Linked DNA regions of Oreochromis niloticus. Each later gene encodes a partner of the first gene's protein in a complex. Links are inferred from orthologs where the notes say so. Each region holds a gene or a part of one and is shown on either strand. Other genes may lie near its edges. The genes, in order: virma, rbm15, mettl3 and zc3h13.

The links.
Region 2: virma (region 1) and rbm15 share a complex: the UniProt entries of both Homo sapiens proteins name them as parts of the WMM complex. The link is inferred for Oreochromis niloticus from reciprocal best matches to the Homo sapiens genes VIRMA and RBM15.
Region 3: virma (region 1) and mettl3 share a complex: the UniProt entries of both Homo sapiens proteins name them as parts of the WMM complex. The link is inferred for Oreochromis niloticus from reciprocal best matches to the Homo sapiens genes VIRMA and METTL3.
Region 4: the proteins of virma (region 1) and zc3h13 are in contact, whole or in part, in a cryo-EM structure (PDB 7VF2), measured with the Homo sapiens proteins. The link is inferred for Oreochromis niloticus from reciprocal best matches to the Homo sapiens genes VIRMA and ZC3H13. Residues at the interface, in NP_056311.2 of Homo sapiens: Leu521, Ser529, Tyr531, Gln532, Leu535, Glu536, Ile538, Leu539, Leu540, Asp541, Val544, Val547, Thr548, Ser551, Leu554, Gln555, His558, Glu561, Val562, Ser564, Glu565, Lys567, Gly570, Asp571, Ala574, Glu575, Thr577, Ser578, Glu621, Glu625; in NP_001317494.1 of Homo sapiens: Pro1492, Leu1493, Asp1494, Val1495, Ile1496, Asp1497, Val1498, Asp1499, Trp1500, Ser1501, Gly1502, His1507, Leu1518, Lys1520, Phe1521, Pro1523, Val1526, Met1527, Arg1529, Val1530, Gly1531, Ile1532, Ser1533, Lys1535, Leu1536, Ala1537, Gly1538, Leu1541, Lys1544, Val1545.

The regions. Positions count from the first base shown.
Region 1 is NC_031976.2:20,073,950-20,081,120, forward strand, and holds the start of virma (protein virilizer homolog), read right to left. Parts: upstream 3,012-7,171; 5' UTR 2,937-3,011; coding exon 2,874-2,936; intron 2,412-2,873; coding exon 2,299-2,411; intron 1-2,298. Other genes in the region: esrp1 (epithelial splicing regulatory protein 1), read left to right, coding at 3,990-4,121, 4,513-4,671, 4,790-4,906, 5,270-5,381, 6,568-6,711, 7,084-7,138. UniProt on the Homo sapiens protein: Associated component of the WMM complex, a complex that mediates N6-methyladenosine (m6A) methylation of RNAs, a modification that plays a role in the efficiency of mRNA splicing and RNA processing.
Region 2 is NC_031984.2:21,081,500-21,088,848, forward strand, and holds the start of rbm15 (RNA-binding protein 15), read right to left. Parts: upstream 3,015-7,349; 5' UTR 2,836-3,014; coding exon 268-2,835; 3' UTR 1-267. Other genes in the region: alx3 (homeobox protein aristaless-like 3), read right to left, coding at 6,082-6,432, 6,583-6,708, 6,856-7,130. UniProt on the Homo sapiens protein: RNA-binding protein that acts as a key regulator of N6-methyladenosine (m6A) methylation of RNAs, thereby regulating different processes, such as hematopoietic cell homeostasis, alternative splicing of mRNAs and X chromosome inactivation mediated by Xist RNA.
Region 3 is NC_031967.2:19,740,405-19,748,407, reverse strand, and holds the start of mettl3 (N(6)-adenosine-methyltransferase subunit METTL3), read left to right. Parts: upstream 1-4,994; 5' UTR 4,995-5,191; coding exon 5,192-5,294; intron 5,295-6,481; coding exon 6,482-6,672; intron 6,673-6,764; coding exon 6,765-7,229; intron 7,230-7,322; coding exon 7,323-7,498; intron 7,499-8,003. Other genes in the region: ttc5 (tetratricopeptide repeat protein 5), read right to left, coding at 572-775, 887-978, 1,066-1,216, 2,412-2,623, 2,706-2,838, 4,589-4,651. UniProt on the Homo sapiens protein: The METTL3-METTL14 heterodimer forms a N6-methyltransferase complex that methylates adenosine residues at the N(6) position of some RNAs and regulates various processes such as the circadian clock, differentiation of embryonic and hematopoietic stem cells, cortical neurogenesis, response to DNA damage, differentiation of T-cells and primary miRNA processing.
Region 4 is NC_031986.2:11,841,475-11,848,821, reverse strand, and holds the start of zc3h13 (zinc finger CCCH domain-containing protein 13), read right to left. Parts: upstream 3,009-7,347; 5' UTR 2,828-3,008; intron 2,200-2,827; 5' UTR 2,191-2,199; coding exon 2,023-2,190; intron 1,888-2,022; coding exon 1,784-1,887; intron 1,684-1,783; coding exon 1,569-1,683; intron 1,440-1,568; coding exon 1,328-1,439; intron 1,185-1,327; coding exon 1,018-1,184; intron 871-1,017; coding exon 722-870; intron 644-721; coding exon 443-643; intron 296-442; coding exon 128-295; intron 1-127. UniProt on the Homo sapiens protein: Associated component of the WMM complex, a complex that mediates N6-methyladenosine (m6A) methylation of RNAs, a modification that plays a role in the efficiency of mRNA splicing and RNA processing.

The DNA.
Region 1 (7,171 bases):
TTTATAGGGGGGGTTAGAATATTAGAAAAGCCACCACCACCACCGTCAGCAATGATCCCAGTATAAAAATGAAACTGATTTCAACTTTTATGACTATCAACAAAAAATGGATCACAGTAGCTATGATAAAAGTAGCTTTTATGGCAGAACTTTGGACCAGACGTTACTTATACATCATGGATTTCCAGAAAATAAATGCACTTTAACATAATATCAATACTACCACAATGCATACCAATGCTAGAGGACTGTGCATTCTTGAGTCTGTTCATTCAGCTAAATTACATCACTCAGCAGGTTCGGGGGGAATTGGGACCTGTTCAACAATGGAGCTCAGGTATCAAATGCACACACTTCTTTATTCACACAAGCTTCTCAATTTCCCCCAGACACACACATTTATCTCAGGTATCCATAGCAAAAAGAGAAAAAAAAAAAAGAAAAAAAAAAAGCAACCCCCAAAACATCTCCACAGGCAATATATCATTAGCAATAAGACCCCAGGTTTTTTGCAACTCAAAACCAATTCAACGTTTGCTTTTCTTATATAATTCTGATTTCTAGCATTGGGACAAAGGTGACACCATTGAGTATTTCCTCTTATCCACTAGCACCTACTCGACTTGACTCAGTTTTAGGGTTTTCCATTAAGTGGTAATACCAGGTACATTTTAGTACTTGGCCAGGGTTCCAAACGACTTGAGTCCAGCTAAAAACCTGACCTTAACAGACTCCATGTCATTGATTGGCCAGAGAGGGATATCACCAGATTAGTCATGAGTGAGACACCTTCACAAGAATCAAACATGCCATTTTTAAAACTCAGCAACGAGGGAAATGCAAACAAACCAACGCCGTGCTCCAACAACGAGGTTCAGATGTTTTTGTGCTAAAGGGAGCTTGAACACTGTTGTGTTTGTGGCACGTACAAATGATATCAATCGACTTTTGGGCCACATTTCTATCACGGGCCCACCCACATTGAGGTGGTACACAGTTATAATGACAAAAGACTAAAACTAAGTAGAATAGAACCCGAATAGAGCAGAATAGAGTGAGTCCAGTCAAGTCAAGCAGGTGCTAGTGGAAAAGAGGTATTTGTTATACCAAAATTAAAATCAGAATTACAGACCGAATGGGAGCACTGTTTAATGAACTCTTTCCGAATGTTCTCCCTCAGACACTTACATCAACATTACAGTATCCCAGAAACCAAATTCATAATGCACAACACTGTGTGTAAAATGTCAAGCACGGCTATCAACCATGTCAGCTCTTTCACTGAAAATGGACTGGTAATTAAATGGCACCTTTCTACCCTAACTGGAAATTTGTGCTTTAGCGGGAAACGTATGCCGTGACCTGACAATAACCTCCCTAGAAACGTAACTAAATGTTTGGTCAGCGCAACCCACAACAATTGTGACTGGCCTGTTCAGTACCACTGATCCCTCCTGTGAATTTCTGGCTACTTTTGCACCACAGTTTTTGAATTTAGCGGTGACAGAATAACAATCGTCACTTCAGTATAAGAAAAAATTACCATAGCAGAAATATAAAGACTCAAAAATGTCAGCAAATTCCTGGAGGGAGATTACCAAAAGTATCGGAATGGACTTGAGGGAAGGTATAAAGGAGTGGAGCAACTACAGAGACAAATGCACCCCCTCCCCTCAAAAAGCTTTAAAAAAGAACCCAAACAAATTCACATCATTTCATTTATTTCTATCAGCTGGCAACACATATAAAACACAGGGACACCATCACAAGGTAATTAACAAGTAATGCACCAGCACAAGCTTCAATGTCAGCATTGACATCAGTTATTTATGTAGAGTGTTGTAAACTCTACAAAGATTCCCCATAGAAGTCTGAATCATACTTAACCCATGACTCAAAGTGCTTTAGCCTATGGCTTTAAGCACTTTCTAACTATCATGCACACACCAATGGATTCATCTGAGGCAATCATTGTTCTGAAATGAAACCTTATCAGTTTGATGCAGAAGTTAATAGTTTCTCTGCACAACTAATAGGTGAAATGGTCCAATGAGTCCTATAAAACTCAGAGTGTGTTTTGCTTTACTAGGAGACTGCATTGATGAGGACGGTAGCCACACTGAAATCATGTATGGTGTTTGCCTTTTAAAGGTACAGTATCTCAATTAGTACTGAGACAACTGTGCGATATACATGCTGGCAACGCTGTTAGATTAGAATGCATTCAGCCTAACTGGGTGTAGCAATAAGATCCATGAGTGTGTGCATGAGTTTTCATGCGGGCATGATGAATCTTACCCAAACGCTCTGCTGTCAGGAAGGTTACTGTGAGCTTTGATCCCTGGAGGAATGACCCGCACCTCTGTGATCAGCACCCCGCAGGGAAAGCGCACCACGTCTATGTTGGTTAACTGAAACAAAGGAGACATGATTACTGATACAAACAATGGTGAAATGCATAATTTATAGCCCCCGGCATCCGCAGAAGTCACTTTTACTCCCGCTTCGTGGTAAACATGCTTAGCCACTCTACATATTGGGGATACTGTAATGTTGATGTAGCATTAGCCACCTGGCTAACCATCAATCAAACTGTGCAAGGACACAAAAGACGGCAACTCTTTTAGCTGCTAATGTATGAGGATTGCATTGACACCGAAAACACACGTTTTGTATAATCGGACAGCTGTGCAGTAATCGCCGCTTAAAACCAGGATAATGACATCACACCGCTGCTAATGTTAGCTAACAGCGTTAGCCTGGAAGTTAAGCATCCTTCCTCAAAACTCCTGAATGCGCTTAAAACTAACTTTTAATGCAGGTAGTCATGGGGTAAACATAAAAGAGTGTGTTTAAGTGTTAAAAAACACTACCTCTGCACTCTGATGCTTAAACGTATCCAGAAAAAGAAGCTCCGTTGAAGGGTCCCCCGCCATCGCTCCAGTGCTATCGGCCGGGCCAGGGGTAAACTTCCGGATTAAAGTGAATACTTCCGGAGTAAGCAACCCACCCCCAACAACCCTGAAGCAAATAAATAAAATTAAAAATAACAACAATAACAACAGCAACAACAACAACAATAGTAGTAGTAGTAGTAGTGGTAATAGTTGTTGTTGTTATGAGAAATATAGTTGGAAAATTTATATTTGTTTAGGAGAAAAAAAGTTGACAAGCGTTTTCTGGAATACTTTTGTTGTTGTAAGAAATTTTATTTTTTATTTAAAAAAATTTAAATCAATTACTCAGTTTATATTTTCATTGAAGCAAAATATCACGAAGTCATAATTTAATAACTTTATGATTTAATAACATGATAGCTTCACTTGGTCTGTATTAGTATTTTTAAGTTTTTTTTTAACTGTTTCATTTTTACACGGATTTCACGGAATTTTTTTCCGTATTTCAGCATAAAATGCGAAATGTTCTCACGAGCATTTTTTCTTCTTCTGCTTCTTTTTCTTCTTTTACTTCTTCTTCTTGTCAATTCCTTTTTTTAAGACTTGAATGCGATTTGTTGAATTGTTATGGAGACATTTATTACATTATTTTAATAATTAACTGCATAGTAACTAAAATATAACACATTTATTATTAATATTATGTTATTATTTATTTTTGTCGTTGTTGTTATATATTAATAACTATTTATTACCTTTTCTGTCCTGCGTGAGCTGCCACGTACTAAACTTTGAACCACCTGAAAGAGGGAGGGGCCAGGTGAAGGGGTCACGTGGTCGCACAGGTAGCTTCACTACAAAAGCGGTGAGCGTTCAGCCATTGCTTCGCGATGGTGACTGCGGGAGGCTTCACATAAAATCTCACACGCGACGAAACTTTGGATTTACGGAACCCACCTTTGCGCTCAGGTGTCAGAGTAAAGGTGTTTCTACCTCCCGCGTCCCGCTTGCGTTTCACATCCCGCTGATCTTGAGTCCCTTTTAGTCTCGTTTAGTATTAGATTAGTTTTCTGTGGTCTGTTTTAGATTCAGATGACGGCGCAGGTAGACTACCTGGTGGTGGTTTTCACCGCCACATCTGGCGCGAGCGGAGATCTCCTGGGGTCTGACGAGAAGGAGCTCGTGCAGTTGGTTTGGCAGCTCGTGGATGTAAAGAACAAAAAGGTAACAACTCACTTGTAGGCTGCTTGATCTTTTTTGCTAATCATCGAGACTCCAAAGCAGGAAATGTGGTGTTCAAAGGAGTGGACAGGTGGACTGCAATACATAATGTCAGACCTCTATTAACAGCAAGAAAGGTGTGCCAGGGGGATTTTTGTGGGATTCCTGCTTACACACACCTGTTCAGAAATCATTATTCTCTTTAATTACAAAAAACCTTCTCCCTTACATGGAAGACGTTTAAATTGATCCTTTCCTGCATTCCACTGTGATAATATCTATTTAGCAAACACATATATTTCATGCTCGTTTCATTATATTGTTCCAAAGCCTCTGAGTTTCTAGCTAGGCTTGCTGTTTCAAGGCTGACTTGTTTTTTTCCTCTCTGAACCAGTTGGGCAAGGTGAATGAGCTCCTCATAAAGCCTGACCTCTCAGACTCGACAGAAGAAAAAGAGGAGGAGGATGTGGTGGAGGAGAGCGTGGAACAGGAGAATGGATCTGGAGCAGACTGTGTGTACAAAGCACCGAGCATTGATAAAGCTTTAAACATGGTAATGTCTTCAAAGTGGCCAGAAATCCATTAATAGGCCATTTATTGATTACTAATTACCGTTACAGCGCTGGTTAAAGCAGCTGTATTAAAGTTCATACCTCTAAATGTTTTTACAGTTTCATCTGCAACTGACAAATGAGGTGAACAGCGCGGGCGCAGGCACATCGGTGTGTTTGTGTACAGACGGGCAGCTCCACATCCGCCAAGTGATTCACCCCGAGGCAGCGAGCAAGGTGAGCAAGCCGGGGCGGATGTTTCGCTCGCTCGCTGCTGCGGGAGCCTTCGACGCTCTCAGAGGGATGTGTTGTGTCAGCATCGCACTGCCCGCTGAACTTTAATGTTAACACTGAAAGTTGATCTACAGGAGAAGCCACTATGGTGACACACGCCCATGCGCATACCGTACACTCATGCAGATAAAAGACAGGCACACAATGAGGCTGATGAAATTTCTCCCAAGTGTTTTAAAACTGTGTGTTAATGATAGAAGAAGTAGGCAGTGCATGCTCTTGTGGCCTGTGCAAACATGAGTATCAGAGCAATAAAAAGAGCAGCTGCTGATGGGCCTTTCACTCACACAATTTATTCCTCTCTAGAACATCCTGGTCCCAGACTCTTTCTACTCTTTCTTTGACCTTCGGAAGGAGTTCAAGAAGCACTTCCCCGCTCCTGACCTCAAAGCTCTGAATGTCCACACCATGGCAGAGTGTATCCTTTTAACACGTCACCTGTTTACATTAACATTTCATGTCCTGTTACCCGTTTATGCCGTCATGGATTTCGAGACACTTGTTATTTTGCTTGATTGATTCGATCCGATTGATTGGTTCTTTCTCATACTGTGCGTTGCATTACCCTCAAAAATCCACAACACATGTGCATTGAGCTGTTGGCTGTAGGGATAAAGGTTTTGAAATGCAAATAAGGAAAGAGTGGCAGCACCTTACTAAGCCCTTAGTGAAAGAGTGTGTGTTTACCCAACAGGACCAACCCCATACACACACACACACACACACACAAACGCACACACACACACACACACACACACACACACACACACAAACAAACGCACACACAGGTACAGGAAGAAAAACACATGTGTATCTCTAACCTTGTCTTCTGCTGTTCTGTTTTCACTTTTTTCATTTTTTCACACACCTGTCTATTCTGTCATGATTTGGGAAAAAACAGATCAGACTTTTGGAGACAGATCAGACTTAGTTTTAAAAAAATTATTAAACCAGCAACAGAAATTATTTGGGAGCAGGCAAATGACGCTGCTGCTACACAACCGGATCTTCTTTTGGAGAGGACAGAGGGATTTAGTGCTGGCCTCTCTAAATGCAGATGAACATCCTGGTTTGTGTGATCCAGGTAAAAAAGCTTACTTGATTGCAGATGTGAATCGTGGAGGAGGGTTACAGGAAGGCAGGCAGGAATCTAGAGAGAGGTAAGGCTGGCGGTGGTGGAGCATGGGCAGCCAGGTGAGTTTACCTGGTGGTTTGAGCAGAGCTCCTCGGGAATGAGGATAAGTCGTAAGCAGAATTTGGAGCAAGAGATTAGAGGGCAAATAGAGAAGCGAGGTTAACTAGAACTTAACAACAAAGAGGGCCGAGGGCCTGGTTACGACCATGATCGGTGTAGCGATCTTGCGGATATCCTGCCTTTTAATACTTCAGGTTGATGAGGCGATTCAGAGCAGGTGTAGAAGAAGGCTGAGAGAGTGGGCTCCACTCAAAGCATACAACTCCAACTAAACTGAAAATGGACTTAGAAAATGAGAGAGAGGAAAAAAAGAAGAAAACAAACCTCCAATCCTGCTGGACCATGACGTATTCATGATTAATAACACTGTCGCTCCCTTGCTTGGGCTCCTTAACCACCTCCTCCTCAGCTCTTGGTATACCTGTTGATGTGCCCACCATGTGGGACCCCTCTGCCACACTGGATCCATCGGTCCCTTTACCTGCAGAAGTAGCCACAAAGCAGCTTCAGCTTATGTCCAGCGTTGTCCTGGCACTGCTATCCGAGCCATTTTGTAAGTACCGTGTACATTACCGAGTAACATTAGCACGACACGTCAGGTAAATCGATTTAACTACTGATGAGTTCCAAAACTGTTACTTTAAGTAAGACCCTGCTGTGAACTAAAATAGAAACTTAATTAGAACCTCTCTTGAGGATAACTGAAATGTTAATTTTTCAAAAAAAATCATTAAAAAAATTGATGATCCAAGATTTTGGAGTGCCACTTTTGAGCGTGCCATTTAACAAACCATTAATTAAGATGAAAAGAAATGTAAGGTCTTACCTGATTTAGACTTCAGCCATTTGCTTTGCCTTTTAAAAACTGTCTCAGCTTGATTACTGTGTGTGTTATCATGGTGACTCTGTCGCTTTGCTGTTGCAGGCCACACGTTTTCTAACCCAGAGAGAGTTAATGAGAAGTTCGAGAGCGGCACTTGGTGAGCAACATTTATTAAAGATACACGTTGTTT
Region 2 (7,349 bases), on another chromosome or scaffold:
TAACCGCTTTACAGAATTTTGGCTAAATGACTGCAGATTTATAATTGTGACTGACACCTCTGAACAGTAACTTCAGAAACACACATACTTTTAGCTTTGCAGGGGGGCACTGTTTGTCCTTTAAGTGGCTTACATGGTAACATAACACTCAATAACCATACTAGTGTACTCCATGATGCAGAACACACAGCATGCAATAGTTACTGACATACAGCAGATTTTTTTTTTTTTTTTTTATTCCATTTGAATTTAGTGTAGTTTGTTTCTTTAAGATGCTCCGCGGACCACAATCATGACTAGATAGTCCTCTTCACTTTTTGCCAGAGCTTTGGCAGAGGAATCCAGGAACTGCTGGGAGAAATCACAGGGAGGGAAAGCATGAAGAACCCCTGTGTTGTCTTTATCTCTGCTTCCTCCCACAGGCAGGCTGATGACTCCAGCTGCTTGTTTTTGGTTGAGGTAGGACACCAGGTTGCGAAGCGGCCGCTGAGTTGAAGCTGCAGGGTCGGATGAAGATGTATCCTCTGTGGTGCCGGGGACCGCCAACAGGATTGCGTAGCCGCCCGGACCTGCCACCTTGATGCGCCGAGACACCTCGTCGAGCTTGGGCTGGTCCAGCCGGAGTCGCTGCGTGATCTTTAGCTCGCTCACTCGCCTTCCTGTAGCGCTGTCGACAAGCAGGTCGCTGGCGACGTTGTGGTCTCCCTCCAGCAGGTGCATGTTGGCTGGAAAGTTGCTGTTCTTCAACAATAGCATACCATGCCACGCCAAACTGAGTTTGTTGCCATCCGGCTTGGATGGCTGGCCTCCCTTTGAGCTGCTCTCAGAACGTTCTCTCTTGGCTGGTCCTTTGCCACCATCGATTGCCTTGCGCTTGCGCTCTCCAACTGCTGAAATAATGTTGCTTGAAAGTCCCTTATCAGACAGACTCTGGCTTTTGGGCCTTCGGTCTGACACACCTCTTTCAAGGCTGTTGTGGCGTTCTCTCGCAGGAGAGGCTCTCTCGCCCCGCAGGGGGCGTTCTGAGTCACTAAAGCGCCCTCCATCTCTGCTGCTGCCTCCAGGACTGCCATCTGGAGAAGCACGTCTGCGTCTTACTGTCCTCTCAGTGCTATCAGGGGAGTGGTCTATGTGGCGTCCGTCCTCCAATATGCGCCGCTTTCGCGCAGGCTCTCGCCCCTGCAGCTCTCTTTCCAAAGACCAGGGCTCACGAGTTCGCCTCTCACGGTCCAAATGCTCCAGAGGCTCAAAAGGTGAGGCACGTACCCGCTCACGAATAGCAGGATTGGGCCAGTCAGTTCCAGGAAACAGCTCTCTCTCCCTGAAGTGAAGCGGCGGTGGAGTTCGTTCCCTGACCCTCAGTGGCTCAGGTGTGGCACGGTGGACAAATGACTCAGCCACCATGTCAAATGGTGGTATTGGGAGAGGCTGCAGGAACTGCTGCTGGTAACGATGCTCAGTGTCTGCAAAGTCCACTCTAAGTCTTCTCTCTGGGCCTCCCAGTGGGAAGCCTCTCATGTGTGTGCATGCTGCTTGTGCAGCATCTAAACTTTCATACTGAATATAGGCCCAAGTGTCCCCTTTTCTGTAGTCAATGGTCCTTATAGTGCCAAAGCGATCAAATTCTCTTGCCAAGGCAGCTAAGGGAACCCACGGTCCAAGACCACCCACCCACAGGCGCGTGGTCGGTGTTGCTTTCCCATAGCCTATCTTTATGGGATTGCGGCCCACTATTTTACCAGACATGCTAAGCTTAGCACGATGAGCCATGTCAAGATTCTCAAATTTCAGAAATCCATACGTGCTGGTTTGCCCCCGTGTTGGTCTCTTAATGTCCACTTCTGTTATGACTCCAAACCTGTCAAAAGCCCTCCTGAGGTCTGCTTCTGCAACAGTTATATCCAGATTGCCTAAAAACAACGTCCTATTAGCTCTTTGGTCGTCTTCTGGGGAAATAAAATCCTCTTCCCGGAAAGCTGCCCGTTCTGCAATGAAGGCTGGGCGTGCTCTGGCTTCAAACAGAGCGAACTCCCTATCCCGCTCCAGTTCTCTCGGCAAAGGTGGTGGTGGGGGTGGAGGAAGCCGTCCCAAGGCTAGCTGCTGCAGCCGGTAGTCTCTATATCCCAGCCCGGTGGGCGAGAGGGGTCGCTGCAAATGTCTGTGGCTTTGAGCTGCACCGTACAAGTCTCTCTCCACCGGAGACCGACTTCGCCTCCGGTTGATGTAGACCGCCTCGATTTTCAGCGGCCGGTCGTACAGCACCAGCCGTCCCCTGGCGTGCTTAGCCGCTCTGGCGTCCTCCGGCTTCCTAAAATTTACGAAGGCTATCCGCTCGTCGTTGCTACGACTTATCTTGACGCTCACATCCCCAAATTTTTTAAATTCGTGAAAGAGTCCGTCCTCGATGTCCTCGTCGCTAAGCTGAGTGCCGAGGTCGCTGATTTTGAGCGTTTTGTACTCACTCTCTGTGCTGGGCGGCTGCAGCCGCGGCTCACCCCGGGAGGTGGTCCTCGGTGAGGCTAAATCCAGCGTCAGGCTCAGGTTGTGGTTTTTGCCCACGGAGCTCGCTGCAGCGGCGGCGGCAGCTGCAGACTGACAACTGTGATTATTTCCAGTCCGGCTGTGACCGTCGAAATCTCGGTCTCTTTTTTCCCCGAGGAGACTCCGTCTTGTCGAGCCGCCGTCGCTTTTGGACGAACTGTTTCCATTATTACTCCCACTGGAAACGGACAGAGCCCCCATTTTCTTGCTGGTCGGATGGCATCCTCCCCTGTCTCGAATATCGTCCAGGGCCCGGGAGCGTTTTTTAATCGGCGACCGCTCTTTACCTTTCATTTCGGCCCACTCGGTGTCAACCGTCGGGACACTTGCTCTTCCTTGGTGCGATATTTTCTGCAACTTAATGCAGAAATTTACTGAAGTGAAAAACGGGTTTATTCACTGACCCTGCGGCAAAACAACAACAGTCGCCATTTTGTAAAGATTAGCTCGAAGACCCACCCCTTCATTCTGATTGGTTAGAAAGTGGGTGGGAAACTTTAAAGCGCATGTCAATCACCCAGCGGCAGGCACTATAATTTTATATTTTCTTAATAAATTAAATTGAGTATAAAATAACAAATAAATAAATAAGTTATCGAAATTGTTTGTGTTTGTTTAAATATAAACGTAAATATTACTTTATTTGTATTTTGCATTCCTTTGAAATTTCAGAAAAGCTTTTACCTTATTAAGACACTTGCATTGTCATATTATTTTTTATTCTGTTGAGCTGTATGCTATTCTACTTATTTAAATAAAAGTTAAATAAAAGTGGCCTATTTGTTAGGTCTAAATGGCTGCACCTTAAGGCTTAAGATAAATCTTATTCCTTATATCACAACGCCAGTTTCTGCTGTCCATCCACTGTTAACTGTAGTATAATACCGTAGGCAGGTTTCTTAAGAATATTATTCATTTCGTTTTTCCCGGGAGGTGAGATGACTTAATTGCGGTGTGGAGGCGAACAGATAATCCTCTTATCTTCAATTAGAGCCAATACCACAAGATGGCAGTATTGAACAGAAAGTGCAGCAGCCCACTCCCCTTGGCATTGAGTGGAAAGGGCCTTTCCTGGCAACTATATGAACAAATCAAGCTGCTGATATTGACTAATGTCTGCTACAGTGTAGGCCACATGTAGCAGTAGCTATTACAGCCTTTTAAAGATATAAGTTCAAAGCATCACACTACAACCTACTAATGTTTGCTCTTTAATGTGTCACAGTAGTTCGCCATTTTTTACAAGTCGTGCTTTGGCTCAAATCGAGCACTGCTGTTTGCACTTCTGCACAAGCATTTTATATTCTGAATATTTGATTTTCTCGGATGAACTGCCAAAACATTTTTCCTAGTGATAAAATTTTGGAAGCAGCCTTGACAAACTGCTGAAACTGAGCCAATCACACAGTGCACTACTTTGTTTACCTTAGTGGGATATGTTAAATAAAAGTAGCCTATCTGTTGTGTCTCAATAGCTGCACCTTGAAGCCAAGATAAATCTTGTTGAGATCAAAGCTCAGAGCAGTGGCCAGCAGTCAGCTTTACCGATTTTAATGAGCCTTAAATCATATTTTTTAGTCCAGTAATGAGGCCGAGGGTGTACTAGCTTCCAGGCTCTTGTGACAGTCTACAGCTAGCAACCCTGACATACTGAGTGATGATTAGCTCTAGCATTGTGCAGCAATGACTCATCATTTTTCATTTCTTTCTGAAAAAATCATAGAGGCTCTTTGGATCCTGATACATTGATTCAACACAGATCAAAGCCAATGCAACAGCATGATAACTTTAATGAGAGCTTGATGAAAACCTATGGCCCCCTATAGTGAAATGACATCACTGTACGTTCACTCTGAGACATTTTTGAAGTAGAATAAGCCAAACTATGATCATGAGCCCCTGAGTTAATCTATTACAGCTGTTCTGACTGTTTTAAGGAATTAAAATATCAAAATCAGTAAACCACCGAGCTTCCTCTTTTGTTTACGAGTGGATTTGATTAACCTGCTCACACTGTAAAAATAAATATCAAAATTAAGCTCTGATCCGCCATCTGCTATTTCTCCAGCTTTCCTAAACACGGCAATCTCCTCAATCCCTTATCCCTTCTGACAGGTCTTCTTATCTTCTCCTCTTAATCTGGGAATTAATCAGGGGGACTATGTGACTGCAGTGAGAGCTGCCGTCTCCCAGGGACTGGCTGGAATTTGAAGCTGTGGGTGTGGAAAGTGTTTCTGATGGCTTTCTGCATTCTTCTATTGGAACCACATGTTAGTGGCTCTCAGGAAACTCCGGCACAGACTTAGGGAAAGGCAGCTAATCCGCCCCTGCATCGCCGTCAAGGCGAAGCAGGCAAAGACAAAGGGGAGCCAATATATTCCCCTGAAAGCCATGCACACTCCCGGGGAGTGAGTTCAGCTTGGCGGGGCTTTGTCCCGCAGTGAAACTCTTTTTCTCAATTCACATTCAGTTCTCAGTCTCACAGATTGAAATGTTTGCCAGTTTGACATGAATGCACTGGCATTTAGTAATTCACACCATATGGGATGTACCGTGCAATTCAGTGTTTCCTTGACAATAACATAAATTGTTTGGGGAGATTTTTCTGAAAACAATTATTAGCACGGCATTCAGGATAATGTGAGTATATCTCTGTTACATTCTGCTTGTACACATGGATGCAGAAGAAACTTGACCTTGACCTGGCCTCAGCATACAAAATATGCTCTGAGCCACAGTAATCGATTAAACACCTCACATTGTAGGACATGCATGACAAATACATAATCATCTGTGGTTATCTACTTTATTATCAGTAGTGAAGTGTGGTCACCAGGTTAGTTTTTCCATTATGAACCTGCCACTTTCCCCTGATGCATGGAGTGTAAGTTGAAGTGAAGCCTAGCGGGCTGCACATTCACTCTGTACACTTTCCGCACAGCAGAAACCTTTTTTTTTATGGGATCCACAGCCTGTAAAGTATTTTTACCTCATAACCACATTCCCAGTTATATTTGCATTGCAAACGTGGCTATCGTTTTGCAAAAGAGTCAAGGCTAAAATAATTATAACTGAGATGGTTTTTGTTCATTTTGAAAAAAGAAAAAACAAAGAAAAAGAAAATCCCTCTTCTCCAAAATAGTTTGCTGCTGAATAAGACAGTTAAATTTACATGGAGCCCTTTATTACTCACGCACAACACAACAGACATTAAAAGGGATTAATATGATACATTTTTTACATGCTTAAATAATTTTCCTCTTTGGTCTCAGCACTGTGATGCAAAATAAGAACTCTAAACAAGAACGTTCGTATTAATAGGTTGGGTTTCGTGCAAGATTCTTAAGTTGCCCTTATTGTTTGCAAAATGCCTGTTCCAACATTTCTGAATAGCAACACGTCTCCAAGTTGATTTATATAAATGTTTGGAGGAAATATTCGAGTCAAATCCACAAATGTACATCTGGGATCGTGTATGGGTGACGACTGTAATATGCTGCGGCTCAGTCAGTGCATAATGGGGAGCTGGCGTTATTATGGTCATGTTGGCCAGGAGAGGATGCTGCCTGGTTCTTTGGCTTTCATCCTCAGTGCCACCAGGCCTGTTGGCTTGTATTCGGTCTCGGGGCCCTCGATGGAAGGTGACCCGAGGCCTCCTGGGAAGCCGTGGAGAGAATAGAGACTGTTGATGCCTGGATGGTGAGGCGGGTGATGGTGATGGTGCGGGTGGCTGGAGGATGTGGGCATGCCCATGAAGCCCTGCAGATTACTGTGGGGGTGAGGGTACGGACTCATGCAGGATGAGGGGATAGAGTCAGCCCCTAGGACACAGCCTGCACCTGAACCACCGCCTCCTCCTGAAGCTGCCCCCGGCCACAGATTGCCCTGCATCTGGATACGGAGAAATTTAGAACAATATCAGCAAAAGTTTTAATATTGTTCAGTCCTGTAACGTGAAAAAAATGCAATTTCTCAGCAAGTTCTATAATGTTAAGTTTACTACTACAACATGCATGCCATGTGAGAGCTACATTGGCCTACCTGGTATGCGTCATGGCGAGGAAGAAGAGAAATGTCATATGTAGCAGCAAAGTGGTTGCGAACCTCCTGGATCTTCCCATAGCGTTCTCGTTTCCTCCATTTGGCTCTGCGATTTTGGAACCAAACCTTTTAAAAAATAAAATATATTATAACACAAAAAAGTATAACAGTAAATTTCCAGAAGACAATTTTTTGTTTGGGCTTTATACTTTCTTCTGATTACATTTAGAAAATAAAAAAGGTGTCAACTGTGATGGAGTTGCCCTGGCATACCTGAACCCGAGCCTCAGTGAGCTCCGTCCGCAGCGCCAGCTGCTCCCGGGCGTACACGTCGGGGTAGTGTGTCTTTTGAAACACTTTCTCCAGCTCCTCAAGCTGAAATGTGCTGAAGGTCGTGCGATTACGTCGCTTCTTGTTTTTGCCAGATAAGTCAATGGAGTCAGCGATAGAATCTCCTTGTAAACCACTGCCTGGCTCTTTGAGCTTGCCACAACAGTCTGTGCCAATCCCAGGATAGCCCATGGTTTTCGGAGTGCCTTTGTCCCGAACTGAAGCAAGGCAGGAAAATGCAAAGGAAAAGTTACACATCCACCAAAATAAATATACAATCGTATACAAATTCTAACAGTTTTTTCTAAGTCAATCTGCGTCAATATACACTGTAATTTAATCATTTGAGACTATCATTGCCTGAAGATACAGCTTAAATTTATTTTTATGGAATGCTAAATTTGATTTCGATTTTATAATTGTTTAAGTATAAACCT
Region 3 (8,003 bases), on another chromosome or scaffold:
GATAAGTATTTATAACAGTGGAAGCAAACAGGCTCAAAGGTCATGTGCTGCTCATATGCATAATTACGACTATAACAATGAAGACAACATGAGTAATAAAAAGATGATGACATTAAAGAAATTATGTGATCTTAAAATACTTGAATTACGTTAAACCGCTTCAGTTAAATCTATTTATCTTCTTTTTTTAAAAATCAGTACTCAATGACATGATTTGTGTAGCTATTATTTTATGACAGGAGTTGAGAGCTACATAGTTCAGATCACCCGTGTGAGCAAGACACATTATAAAGAGTTTTACTCTAGACAGAAATCACTTTGCTGCCACTGATTACACGTCAATCATTAACATTTTGGAGTATCAATGGGTATTTTCCAGCATCAGCATGTCAGAGCTTATTTAGTCATTGATAATATTAAATCTGATGGTGGCTGATAAACCACCTCGGGGACTCGTAGCACAACCAAAACACAGCATGATTTTCACCGACTTCTCTTATGTATGTTTTTGTATAAGGACATACAAACAGACATAGGGAGTATGTCGGTGCTTTTGTAAAGACTCTCCTACCTTGTTCTGTAGGAGTTCGGTCACTTTCTCTAAATATTCCAGCAGCTGCTTCTCTCTCTCTGGTGGCTCCTTCCAGCCGGGGTCGAGCTCGGCCGCTCGACTGTAGCCAGCGAGCGCAGACCCGTACATCTCCTCGTACTGGAACAGCGTGGATCTGTTGAAATGCAGCTCCGGGTAACAAGAGGCAGCTCGATCCACCGTCTCCTACACAGGGGGAAAACGGGAATAAAATACAGATGCCCATGTTGATTATTTATTTATTTTATTATTTATTGATATTCCCTCTGGTGTGTAGCTGTTCGTGTCTGTACTCACAGATTGTGTGTAGGCACTTAGAGCTTGTTGAGATAGCTGTGGATTCTGTCCACAGGTGAAAAACAGCGACACATAGGCATTTCCCAGGATATCTGTAAAAACAAAAGCAGAACAACATGAATTAATGTCCCAACAGTCTTTAGCATCTCTAACAAAGAGCACCGTCTGTCTTCACTCACACCAGGACGTCCCATCCTTCACGTCCAGCTGCACGGCCTGCCGGGCCATGTCCACGCTTTCCAGCACCTGCTTGCCGTGAGCGTCGTTGTCAGCCGCGGGCAGCTGCCTCAGCACCATGGACAGGTTGCGAAGAGATACTTTGTTCTTGCTCTACAGAGGTGGAGAACAAAACACACTAACATGAATGAATCCTAACAGAAAGGATAGGAGATGTTATCTGGATTAATGCTCAGAAACAGCTTTTAAATTCACTGGATATTGTTGCCAAACAATTCAGTGAAAGTACTGACAGGGATTGGAAAAGTGGGCCCCATTAGAGCTCTTTTAGAGCTCTTTGCTCACAGACTGCTGGCTTACTTGTCATTTATTAGCTTATAGTTAAGCATAGCTGGATCAGGTGACCCTGAACAATCCCTTAGTTATGCTGAAATAAGCTTAGGCTTAAACTTCGCATGATTCACTGAGCATTTCTTCTTCAGTCCCTGCTTTTCACTTACAATGTGCTTATACACCAGTATTGTATCAATCAGTTTTCATTATTAATCTCTGGCTCTCTTCCACAGCGTCACTTTTATCCAGTTTCCCTCCCCTCATCCCCCACAGGTCACAGCAGATGGCTGCTCCTGCCTGAGTCTGGATCTGCCAGGGGTTTCTTCCTGTTAAAAGGGAGTTTTTTCTTCCCACTGTCGCCAAGTGCTTGCTCAAAGGGGGGGGGGGGGGGGGGGGGCATCTGACTGTTGGGGTTTTCGCTGTATTATTGCAGGGTCTTTAATATAAAGCACCTTGAGTGATTTGGCACTATATAAATAAAAATGAACTGAATAAACGTGACAGTTTGGCATTTTAAAAACGTGGTAGTTTTGTAATTTGACAATATGGCTACATGTTTTTAGCACAGAGGCTGCTTTTGCAGCCTGTGCACAGCATTATGTTCATTACAATATTAAACAGAACACAAAAGTGAAGTAATTAAATATTTTCTTTGCATACCAAAGTATGTAAAGGTCTTGTTTTTGTATTACTGATTCTTGTGGTGTGAATGGATGAGTCTGAATAACTTTCCAGCTTTACCAAAGTCAACAACTACCCATCACACACGTCCAAAGAGCTGAACATATTGTTCAAATAACTAACTATGGTCGCGATTAAAGCTTCAGACCAACAACTATGGAGATAATGAGGTAATATAATCAGAATCTAACAGATCTGCCAGCCTGAACAGAGATCAGCTGAACACAAACCAATTTGAAGTGGATTTTGGGTTTCCTGGTTTGGGTTCAATGATTAGAAATGTGGAGATTGTTTCACCAGTAACTGGAAACTTGGGTCATATTAAGTTAATTACCTGCTGTAAGGCACCAGTGAAGCAGTTTTTGGCACCGATCAGATCTCCTTTTTTCCAGTACTGCTCCCCTAACGTGTTCCAGCCCTCCACCAGGCCAGGCTGCAGCTTCACCGCGCGGGACAGACACTCCTCTGCTGCAGCACTGAAGTCTGGAGCCACGTTCAGACATCGTCCCTTTTGCAGCAAGAACTCAGCTTTGTGTTTAAAAGCGTCTGTTGGAAGTTGTAAACGGAGCAGGTGTGAATGAAAGCCTGCAAATTAACTCACTTTTTTTACATTTAAAGAGACTCTTACCTTCTTTTTCCTCCAGCTGCTTCAGCGTCCGTGCCATCTCTTCTGCTACGTCGCTGTGTTTCCGTCCTGCATCCTCCACACTGTGAGTCTCAAAATAACAATCTCTGAATTTATACAGATCATCCACCAGCTCCTGTCAGGAGAGAAGACATGAAACGGACATAAAAATAGAGCAAACACACATTTCTCTCAACCACATCTGTAGTACAACACTGAGACACAACACATCAACAAAAACTGCTGAGGAGTAAAACTACCTGAGTAAACTAATAATTTAACTAGTACTAACAGTTTATACTACACTTGGGAATGTTCTGTGCAAAAGTCTTTAGACGCTGCAAATTTCTTTACATTAGGTTAGAAAACAGGTGTACAGAGATGTATTAAAATTAATAAACATACATGGAAATACAGTATACAAAGGCAAAAAAAAAAAAAAAAAAAAAAGGAGTCTTTGGGAATAGTTCTCGTCGCTTCTTGAATGACATCCAAAGCTCTTCTTTGGATGTTGGCTGCCTTTTGTTCTGTTCTCTGTGAAGATGATCTAAACCCCTGAACTCTTTCCACATGGATCAAAATATGACGGTACTTATCTGTGTTCAGAATTTCACTAATTTTGACAAGATCTTCAACATCACTGGCTCTCATCAGTACATACTAACAATGATTTGGACCAAAAATCACTGTCAAATGTAAAATTTGGGTTCATCACTCCATCAGACCTGATTTTCAGTCCAGTTGTTGTGTAAGTGGGCATACCGCATTTTCCTATTTCTTAAGGACAGGACAGGTACTGTTCCATCTACTGTAGACATTTTTTAAGCCTGTCACTTCTTCTTTTGTCCACCACTTGTTCAGTTTAATTATTTTTCTTAAGGACACACTGCACACCATACATGAGATATAGCATAGTTTTGCGCTAATATCTCTTTGGGAATCACCCATTTGTGCAAAAATACTGTTTTCTGTCTGTCAACCTGTGTTATCTTTCGCATTTTCCATAGATACAACTAAAGAAGTTGGAACAAATTATGCGTTTTTGTGACAAGCTGCTGGTAAAAAAAAAAAGTCCCTAAAGATACAATTAAAAATTGGTTTTTTGCCAACATGTCCGTTATGTGTAGACATAACAGCATTTTCAGGCTTGGATGATTCATATTTCACTTTGGAGTAATATAAACAAACAAACAAACAACAGTATTCCTATGAAAATGGTGAGGTATAAGGACTGGACTGGAAAGGGGTGAAAAATGAGCCAATTTCAAAAGAAACATTTTGAAAGACCTCCTTAAAGCCTGGAAAACTATTGCTCAAGACCACTGAAAATATTAGTACAAGATTTTTGTGCAGTATTGTGTTACAGCATGTTCACTGTTAGTTTTTTTTCTCATTTTCTAATTTAACCATACTTCACTCCTGAGTAAACTTCTGCTACAAACTACTCCCAGAGTGAAAGACTTCGTTTTTGTAACATTATAAGGCATGAAACATCGAGGGGCCTACAGAGAACAAATCAGTACAGCTGCACTCCTCATCCTTGGTGCACTAAACCCGAGGCACCCTGACAATGTCGTGACTCAGCAAGAAGCGCACAGATCCAAACAAAGCGCGAATATCAGCCCGTTATCTGGTGGTTTAAATCTGTGGTGTGAAACATCTGAGGCCAATCTAGCTACAGAAGGGTAAGTGTGGCACTCCTGCACCTGACACACCAGCAAATCTTAAAGCTAGTACTAAAAAAAATCTGTCCTTCGGCGTGACAGCTGCAGCCAGCTGTTGTAGCAACGACTCTTTCTGGAGACTCACGGGAAGCCAGCTGGGCACAAAGGCTGGAGACAGTCGGTGCATTTGAATAAATGTGTGATTCCGCTGAGAAGAGTTACCTTCATAATCTGCAGCTCGTCTTTGTTTTCCACAGCCTCACCACTCTTCTCCTCTTCCGCCATCTTTGCGTTAGAGCATGGAGCAGCAGCAAAATCTGACAGCGAGCTGGAGCAAACTGCACCAAGTTACTTAATAACTATTAGATATTGGGCTATACGGTATGTCTACTGCCACAGAAAGGTAATTTCTTCAAGGAAGCATCGCGAGTGCAGTCTTGTTTCAGCACAGAGGAAACGGGCTTTTAATTTCAGCGACGCCGGAAATTGAAGTAGTCCGTACTCAAAACGAATCCGCCTGGAAAATTAACAGGTGAAGTTTAACGTGGTGAATGATTTAGTTACCAACATGCCACCTTCGTAGATTGAGATATATATGTATTATATTTTACATCATATACCCTCCATCCTAAAACCACGACAAATCACTACGAAAGCGGAACGTTTAATCCCAATTAAGATGCTACCGGACACACATTTTCGTGTTGCACCGTACCCGCTTCCCTCCAAGGGTGGACTGGATTCAACTTTTGTTTAGTTTCCCGGACACTCGGTGCTCGGTGAGGCCAGTATTGGTGTTTTTTCTGCCGCTGAGTCCAGCTCGTCATGTCGGACACATGGAGCAACATCCAGGCGCACAAGAAGCAGCTGGACTCTCTGCGGGAGAGGCTGCAGCGACGGCGGAAAGACCCTGCTCAGCTGTCCGCCGGTAGGTTCAGGCCGGGCAGTGCCCAGCTAACGCTGGTATTGATACCAAAAGGGCAGTTCCCCCCCCCCATACATTTAACTTTACGTGTCTTAACTCAGGTCTGCAGCGCTTTGCAGCCATTTAAACTGTGTAAGCTGCCGTGTTATGGCGATATCGTTTTCCTCTGGTGCTCTAAGAGCCAAATTACAAATAGAAAAGCTTTCTAGAAACAAGGAAAGAAGGGGGAAAACATCCACTAACCTTGCCGTGAGTGGTTTAATTAAAGAACGTAATATAGTTATTACTATGTCTGAACTACACCTTTCAACCATATCACTCTGTAGGAGAAAGTATGGTAAGAGCTGGTGTTACTGACGGTGTGGCAAGATGTAAATAAACATCAGGCGGTCCCCTCTCAGCTGAGATCAAAGTTAGCTCACTGCACACGCCATCCTCCCCATCCTGCCGGCGCTCTCTTCTTCAACTCTCTTGTCTTTTGCTTTGGGTGATGAAGCGCTTTAGTGTATAGGATAAAAATGATTGTGTTTAGATGTGATTGAAGTGCTTGGTAAATCTTGAAAAGCACAGAAATGCACTCCAGTCCATTCATTTAGTAGCTGATTTAATTGAGCGGATTTGCCTTCGCTGGCGAAAGGGGAACTGAGTTTTATAAAATGAAGGTGGGGTTTTACTCGGTTGTTGCTGGAAACTAACAAAATATTGTGTTCGTTCTTGCTAAATGTGATGCAACAAAAAATTACTATCTATATTATTGATCGGTCAGGTATTTTGTTACAGGAGACAACCAGTAAATTAGCTCAGAGTATCCAGCAGTTGTAGTGATTTGCTATAAAGCTGCCTAAGCTCATTTGCTTTGATGCCATGCTGGGGATGTTGCAGTGTATATCAACAGTACGAGCACTGGAAAGGAAGAGGACATTTACCGCTGGCAGTAATCGATATGAGCTGAAAAACTTTAAAGCAGTTCTGCTGTTTCACTATGAAGATTTTCCTAATTCCTCAAAACAAAAAGGAGTAACAAACAACAACAAACAAAGGATGATTCTTGTACCATTAAATTAAACAACAATTTTTATAATTACTTAACCTTTTTATCTAAAAGTTATGAAACATTTTAAGGCCTTTCAAATGAGGAATATTGACAATTTTCTCTGAACTCGATGCTTCATCCTTTGTTGTCCCCTCAGATGGTGGCGGCAGCGCAGACGGGTCCACAGTCAGGAGTGACAGCCCTGCCCCGGCAGTTCCGTCCACCTCACAGGAGGAAACAGAAAAACCACCAGACCCCGAACTGGAGAAGAGGCTGCTGGGATATCTGTCTGATCTGAGTCTCACACTGCCGACAGACTCCCTTTCCATCACAAATGAACTCAACAGTGTGAGTTTTTGTCTCCATTGCTCGTGTTACCCTTAAACTCAGTGATGTGGGTTTATTTTTGACATCTCTGTTGTGTTTGCTTCTCGTCACAGTCAGAAACAGCCGTTAGTCACGGCTGCATCCAGAGCCTGCTGCTTAAATTCTCTGCTCAGGAGCTCATCGAGGTCCGAGAGCCCACCTCAGCTCCTTCTTCTTCTACAACTTCCTCCTCCACGTCTACCCCGACAGTGGTTGTAGCTGTGGACCACACAAAACTTTGGGCTATGATTGGATCTGTAGCTGGAGCCCAGAGAACTGGAGTCAAGAGAAAAGCAGAAGACCAAATGCACAGCAAAAGGGCTGCAGGCTTCTCGCCCTCGCTTCAGAGCTCTGCTTCTCCTCCTCACTCGTCAACCACATCGCTGACACCCGCCTCCTCCTCAGAGCCGGGGCCTTCGGCGTCAGGGAGCGGGACCGAGAAGAAGGGCAGGAGCAGTAAAAGCCAGTCGTCGCATTTGGACATGGAGATCGAAAGCCTCCTGAACCAACAGTCCACCAAGGAGCAGCAGAGCAAGAAGGTAACAGAGGGTTTTTTGGGGTGTTTTGTAACCACTTAAAAATGGAGTTGTCATTACTGCTGCAGCTATCGTGCAACTCTCTTTCGTATCCAGTTAAGCCGAGAGATTCTGGAGCTGCTGAACGCCAGCACAGCCAAGGAGCAGTCCATCGTGGAAAAGTTCAGATCCCGCGGCCGAGCTCAGGTCCAAGAGTTCTGCGATCACGGGACCAAAGAAGAATGTGTTCGTGCTGGAGACACGCCTCAGCCGTGCACCAAGTTACACTTTCGGTCTGTATTTGCTTCACAAGGTCTGACACTGTTACAGACAGCCCCACAGATTAAACTGCTACCAACAAATAAAACCTGAAATCAAACACAGCAGACATGATAATAAACTAACAAGACTAAAAGTTTATTTCCATGACAGTCCTGGATTGTCCAAATCATGAGAATACAGGCTGCTGTGCTGCAGCTAGAAAAGAGCGTATCATAAATATTACAGATTATATGAATGGGAAATTCTAACTGACCTGCTAAGTACATTTACCCATTGATCGCTTTCTTTTTTAAGTATAGCAGATGTCCATCAGTGTTTGAGTAATACTCTCTTTGGCCTGCAGGTGGCACTGTGATTATGCTAAATACTCTATATTTGATACACCACATTTTGAGAGTGTTCTGCTCATACACATGTCTAAAGTGCTGCACCACAAGTTTTATTTTGCATCATTTTAAGTGATCCAACAGATACAGTTTGGAAAACTGTCCTACATAAAGAGGGATTCTCTGCCCA
Region 4 (7,347 bases), on another chromosome or scaffold:
CAGTGACAAAACGTTATTTCCTCTTGGCTGTCATGTCCAAATATTTACCCAATTGTGAAGAAAGAAGTACAGGTGAGTGATCCTGCAATGTTTACAGCCCTGGAAAAAAAGGTCTCTGTGTGCTCACCTGTGAGGAGGGGATGCCAAGATAGAAGCCTTATGGGAGGAAGCTTTAGGAGAGGTAGATTTCTTCCTGGCTGAGGGCGACACACCCCTGGAGGGAGATGACACGCTACCAGAACGCTCCTCTGATGTCACAGACCTCTTGGCCTTGTGGGAACTGTCTGATCTATCCCTTCAAACAAAAAGGTGACATTATAAAGAGCGAGCACTGGAAGTTGAAAAGGATAACTCAGGATAACTGTGAATATGACTCAACAAATTAAAAACATATGCACATACGTACGCTGCATGATGCACATGCACTAAGTCCCCACTTTACCTGCGTTTTTCCTTCTTCTCTTTGTGTTTTTCTGCATCTCGTCCACGATCTTTACCCTCCTTCTGCTTCTCGTCAGACTTCTCCTTATTTTTGTGCTTGCCTTTGTGTTTTTTCCCGACCACGGGCAGGTCCAGAGGGACCGGTGGAAGGGGACTGGGGGTACGGGGCCCTTTCTTCTTGCTGTGGCTTCCTTTCGAAGACCTGGTTAAAGAATGATGGAAGATATGCATCAGAACCTCATCAAATCTGTAGGTCTCATATTTTGTTTTTCTTCCCTACCTGGTAGTTTCTGAAACAGGTGAGGATACTGATGCCTTCTTTTCTTTCTTCCCCGAGCCCAGCCCTTTGTTTCCCCGTTTATGTTTTGGCGAGCCACTGGACTTTCTGGATGAGGGTGAATCTTTGGAGCTTAACTGCTCAGGGGAAGCCTGAAGGATAAATGTGACAGATCGAGCTAAAATTCAGATGACAATCACCCTTGCAGACAGCTACTTCAACGGAGGAAGTGAGCTGTGCTAATACTTTTGAAATCCAGAGGTCACGTATTGAAATCATCAAAGCATCTCATCCCTTACCTTTGGCAAGGCTGTGGTTCTGGATTTCGTCGGAGTCTCGTCTTTCTTGATGACAATTTCTTCTCTCTTCTCCAAGTTTTCCTGCTCTAATTTCATTAGTTCACGCTGAATCTTCTGACGCTTCATCTCTAGGGAAAGCTCATAGTCGTAATCACCAATATCAGAGTCTGAAAATCAACCAAAAAACCAAAACAAAACAAAACAATAAAATTGAAATGGAGAAGAGCGTTTCAAGCCACAACATCAAAATGGTATTTACAAATAAATGTGTCATTTTCCCTTTAAACTTCATCAAAACAAGACACCGAACCTTCACGATTGGTTTCCCACTCTGTGGGTTCTTCTTCACTGCCTGGGGTACGCTCCTTCGTTATCTTTATATCCTCCTTCTCTCTGTGTCGGCCTCTGGAGGACTCTCTCTGCTACAGCACCACACACAAACAAACCGTTGTGCATCATGTACTAAAATCTCCAAAATGATTTCAAATCGAAACTAGATTCTTCATTCAGAAATGCGTTATTATCAAAGACCAAAAGAGCAGAGGACTCACTCTTACTGTGGGGGACGTGGGCTCATCTAGGTCTCGTTTCAGGTTTTCTGCTTCAACATCCTGTCTTTTATTTTTCATCCTCTCCCGCAGATCACCTGTGGGCCTCTCGGTTGACCTGTTTCATTAACGCAGACATTAGAAAAACACATGCACAAAGGTCGATTTGATTTTAAAAGCAACAATCAATACAAATTCACTAACCGCAGTCATCTTACCGGCTAAAGCTAAATCCTTTGCCTCGTGGCTGAGTTCCATGTGTGTAGCGACAAGTGTTGCCGTAACTGCAATTCCCAGTCTTCAGCCAATTTCTACAGTGACTCTAAAAAAAACAAACAAACAAACAAACAAAAAAACACAGATGAGCCAGGCCAAAGGGGAAACAAAGCACTGTGCCATATTCATTCAAAGACACAGTGACTTGGATCACCCTATCTGACCTCTGGGTTATACATACATCAGCAGCATTACTCCCAGTGCTGGGTCCAAGTCTTTCAAACACACTTGGCCTGCGGGACGGAGCGGCGGGGTTGGTGCTGCTGCTGGTTGTGGTGCTGCTGCTGCTGCTGCTGTCAGATATGGTTTTTGAATTTTCCACTGTTACCTTCCGCCTGATCTTGGACATTCTGCAGGACTGCAAGTATGACAAACAACGCTCAATGAACTGTCTTTAATCATCTGCATGTTTACAACTTGGCACTTTAGAAGCAATGACTTAAAAAAAGCAAAACAAAAAACAAAGCAAGTCTGTCAGGAAACTTTCTCTGCAGTGCGATTCCCTCACACTCCCTGAATTAATTCATTCACTTACAACGGATCTTAAACTGCAACCGAAAACCCAGTTCTCACTGTTACTGTTGCAACCGTTTGATAAGCCCATGGCCTTCCCGGATGCTTTAGTACTCCTCTGCATAATCGAGCATCCAAAACATAAACACATGCAAATATCTGCCTTCCGTGCAGCTGCTCTGTGCTAACTTATAGCGAGCAATAACGCATGCTAGCTTTAAGTAAGCTGAAGTTCCCCGTTAACTACAAGAACAGAGTTCTGTTTACCATCTTTAACTAACCAGGACGCATCTGATATTCAAAAAGCGTCGTAGGTTAACAGTAATTATTCTGCATATCTCATACTAGAATAAAACAAGCGAATGCAGGCTAATGCTAAAGTTAACTGTGTCATGTTTTATCTCAGCGCGGGGCCTATCTTAGCCTGCCCCAGTAACCTGCATGCTAATCTGTAAATGAAAACACGGTCTCACCCAAGATATTTTTTCGGTGTCACACCTACTTTAATCAGGCTGGCGGATTTAGCACTTGTAAAAAAAATTACAAGGCTTATTCTTTAAAAGCAAAGGCAGAAACTGCCCTGGGTGCCTTCATATTGGCGGAGAGTGCGCGTCATAGGTCCTTCTTCTTTTGTGGTTTGTGAAGAAGGAAGTCGACCTCCACGGCGATGCATTACCGCCACCGCCTGTTCATGTGTACAGCTTTTAATTACATTTTCCCCAGGTCATCTGCGGTGGCTCACACACATACACACAAGATATAAATCTTGAAAGATGGCCCCTTTGGACCTAGCTAGCTAAGACTATAACTCGGCTGTCGGGGAAACTTGTTTTGTAAATGTAGCAGAAAAAACATTATATTTCAATACTGTCGAAGCTTTTCAACACAGTCATCTCTGGTGACATCTGGTGGCCAAAAATATGAAGAACAGCTTGAATTTACAAATTAATTAAAGTGTACTGCTTCATTATGACTGCCTACTCTACAGAGTGGAGTTCACAATTCTGTCTGATATTGGTCCACCTTGTGTTGCTTTGAATATGTATCTTTTGGGTGAAAAAATGATGTCTATTTGTTTAATAGATTAATTTCATCAATAAACTTTCCTTATTTAAGCATGTACCGTGGTGTGGTATTATAAATAATATTATATTAGGCCATTTTTCTTATACATATTTTTGACCTGGGAGTAGAATTGTTTGTGAACTGGAAAGGGAAAATGTTTATGAACTTGTTAGGTAAAAACATGATGCATTTAAGGTTATTCTGTTTGGTTTTTATTTAAGAAGAGAATTTGTTCCACTGTGCGATGGCCGAGTCTGTTTCTTTTCTTGGAGATAATTTCTCCTGCTTTAGAGAAAATCTTCTCACATGGAACAGACTGAAGAAGAGGCTGGAGTGCACAGAAACTGCAATGGAAGTTGGTAGAGATGCAGGTATGCGGTCTTCCTGGGTCCCACAGACTGTCACCAAAAAAGAATAAACAAATTAAATTGCTCCACATTTTGTAGAATAGCACTTTAAGATTATTTTAAAAAATAAAATTATGTAATGATGTTTATTATGAAAAGCAGATGTTTTGTTAAGACATTTTACGATTTTCACATTTTCAAATAAAATAAGTAAACCCAAAACAAAGGCAAACAACCAGAACAGAAAGGTGGCAAACTGACCCGATTGGCCAAAATCAACTCAAAATGCTCCCACATGACAGAACCTCCTCTCTTCCTCGCTGGCTCCATATCTCTCAATAGAATGATCAGTAGTTTGCTATCGCTCACCATCAAAACACTCCACAAATCCCGCAAATGATTCACTTCCTTAGGAATCAGGTACCGAAGCAGTGACTTTCTAAATGAAGCTTTGGATGTCACTGATCACGTGACTCTGGCCAAATGAATCAAGTCTCGACACAGTGCTTCTGAAGCAGTGTGCTACAGACCTCCTACTACAATCCTTCTTCCCACCATTAAGCATTAAACAGCCAAAGAACTACAAGGGAAAATAACACGGTCGACAGCTGCCAGGCAGAAAAGGAATCATCAAATGTGATCCAACAGCTAATCTAGATACATTAACTCATTACATTAACATGTCTGTGACCAAGATGAACTTAACATGCCAAATGACACTGAACAGTTGGTGGAATTCACAAGCAATACACACAAGTGTACTATTTTCCACAAAGAAGTCCTTACTACGCCAGCATAAAACGAATTCGTTTGACATTACTCATTGGATTGATCTCACAACAACAGGAAGATCTGAGGAACTCATTGTGTGTTTATAATAGTCTAAATGACTTGTGGAGCCATTTATAAGAAAGTGTGGGGTCAAAAGTTCAAACAATTGTACATAAACACAAATCCCCCCAATGTGTCATTAATTTGCCATACGAGGAAATTAATTAGGGTGGTGAAGAACAATCGATTGGCATGATTGAGCAAGACCTCGTACATTGTCCGCGGCCACAGTAGTCTGGGTAACAACCCAAACTGGAAGCACCAGAGCTTCAGTTTCCCTGGGAGTGCAGTGTTGTTAATCAGCCTGAGGTCATTAGCCATGTTCTGCCTTAGTTGTTCAAGGTGCCAGGTACCACTGAGGTCTGCATTATACCACCGTCCCAGGCTCTTGTTGGAATTGGTCACCCAATCAACACCCTCACGTTAACAGGGACGAAACTGGTGGAAGATCACGTCACAGAGAGTCCCCATGCTCAGCTAATGGAAAGCCTTTCCACAGGCCCAGGGAACATTTATCAATAAAACATATTAAAATACTTCTCTGGATGTAATAAACTAACTAACTTTACCTTTCCTGCTCTCTCTTTTCTCTACATTTCAGGGAGAATTAAACTAAAGATTTGTCATTTGTTCATCAGCTGGTAACAAACCTGCTCAGAGCTCAGCTCCAGACTCAGATTTTGTGCCTTTCAGCGTCTGAAGATGTGTTCGAGTCACTCCACCAGCCGCCTGATTCTTCTGATCTTCCTGGGTGTGATAATGCTCATCTGTGTATCAGATACAGCTTTTGTTTCTGGAGTTTGCTCTGTTCTGAAAGTTCAGTAGCACCAGCTAAACATCTGTTTCTCAAAGTGATCATAAACAGGGGCGGATCTATAATCTCTTGCCACCCCTAGTGCCACCCCAGCTTTTTATATGACAGTATTGTTTATTAAAGTAAGCTAGCATTAACACGTTGAGCCTCGGTACAATGAACATTGCCTATAAATACAAACTTCTGACTGGCAGTGTATATATAGCAATCTATGATTTTCAAATGGTGTCCTGAAATGCCTTACGAATATTTTGCTTTTGGTAGCTTGTTCATTTTATAAAGACTTTTAATGCTGTCAGTGGGGATTTATTCAATAAACATGTTGTTGGCAAAAAAAAAAAAAAAATTAAAAAATAGTAAGTGCATAAATTATTTATATATGCGTTTCCAATGAATTATCTATTGACACACATAATTAATTAATAAATAATGTACTTAGTTGTTTTGTTTTGGCATTCTTGATGCCCCATATGGGAAACACGACATAGTTAACTGAAATAATTAAATGTGCTTTTAATTTAAAGGAAATTATGTTTTAATTAATTAACAATCTAATTACAAAATTATTACTTTAATTCCCATTTGTGATTAATAAATGACACATTTAATTAATTATTTAATGAATGGCTTTTGGCACTCTTGGCATGTCATATTAAACCATTATACACTTTAGTAGTGAAATAACTAAATGTTTTTAAATTGCATGAATTAATAATTTAAATAATGTGATTTTATACATTATTTTAATACCCACAGAAGGTCAGAGTCAACAACCAACCTCTGAAAACCCAGAGGAAGAAAGTCAAAGAAAGTCAGAAACATTGGTGTCGCCTGATGCTAAGAAAATTGAATTTAGCTTTTTTCTAGTAACGAGAATCTTCAGCGAATGCAGCAATTGCACCAAAACACTTTTGGATCGAAACATAATAGTCACTGCTATCAAACATCTGACAGATTTTGTGTATTCTGAAGTGAGATGCGCTCACTGTCTGACAATTCTTAAAAATAACATGGATAAAATAATCAAGGCCACAGCTAAAAGCCTTACTGAGTCGTATAGAAGTCCACACATTTTCTTCTCTTCAGTAATGTTATCAGAATATTCATGTGTTTACAAGACTACTAGACCGAATTTCCCAGAGGAACCCACCCGAGGGATTAATAAAGTTTTATCTTATCTTATCTTACTGTTGACGGTAGCGGCGGCATCACGGGCATCGGCAAAAAAAAGTTGCATGCACCCATGCTGCCCCGACATCATGCCAGCGATTTGGGGGATTAAATGGGCACTGGTCGGTTTTCTATCACCCATATGCGAGGAGTAAGGGCGCCCTCGGTTTGCGACGTGCGCCTTCTGCTTGCGGCACAGGGAGGAGAGGGCGGGGCGGCCGCGGCGGGGGATTCTCTGGCTGGCTGAAGCGGCATCTAATAACCAGCTCGCAAAATAAAACAAAATAAAAACAAACCAACAAACACGAAAACAGCAGACATTATGATACAGACTTATAATTTGCACTTAATGTACCCCTGCATTTGATGTTTTTTAAGTGAGCGCGAGAGCCCTCGGTGCGCCTGCTCGCTGCTGAAGTCAAAGTAAACTTTATTGTCATCTCCGCTACATACAGTCCAGTATGTAGAGAGACGAGACGACGAGGCTCCAGTTACAGCAGTGCAAGAAAACAAAAAATAAATATAAGAAGAGTAAGAAAATAAATATGCGTTTTAGGACCAGGGGTAAAGGGATCAATAACAATTTAAAATTTATAATTTACAGTTTGATGATTTAAAGTCTCACACAACCTGTCAAAAAGCGAGGGGGGCCGGCTGCTTCCAAATAGAGCACATTTCATTCATAATGTTGTAAATCCAAGCCCATTATGTATTCCTGATTTGTTCCTGGGTTGTGCGAAATCCCACAAATAAACCAAAGCGAATC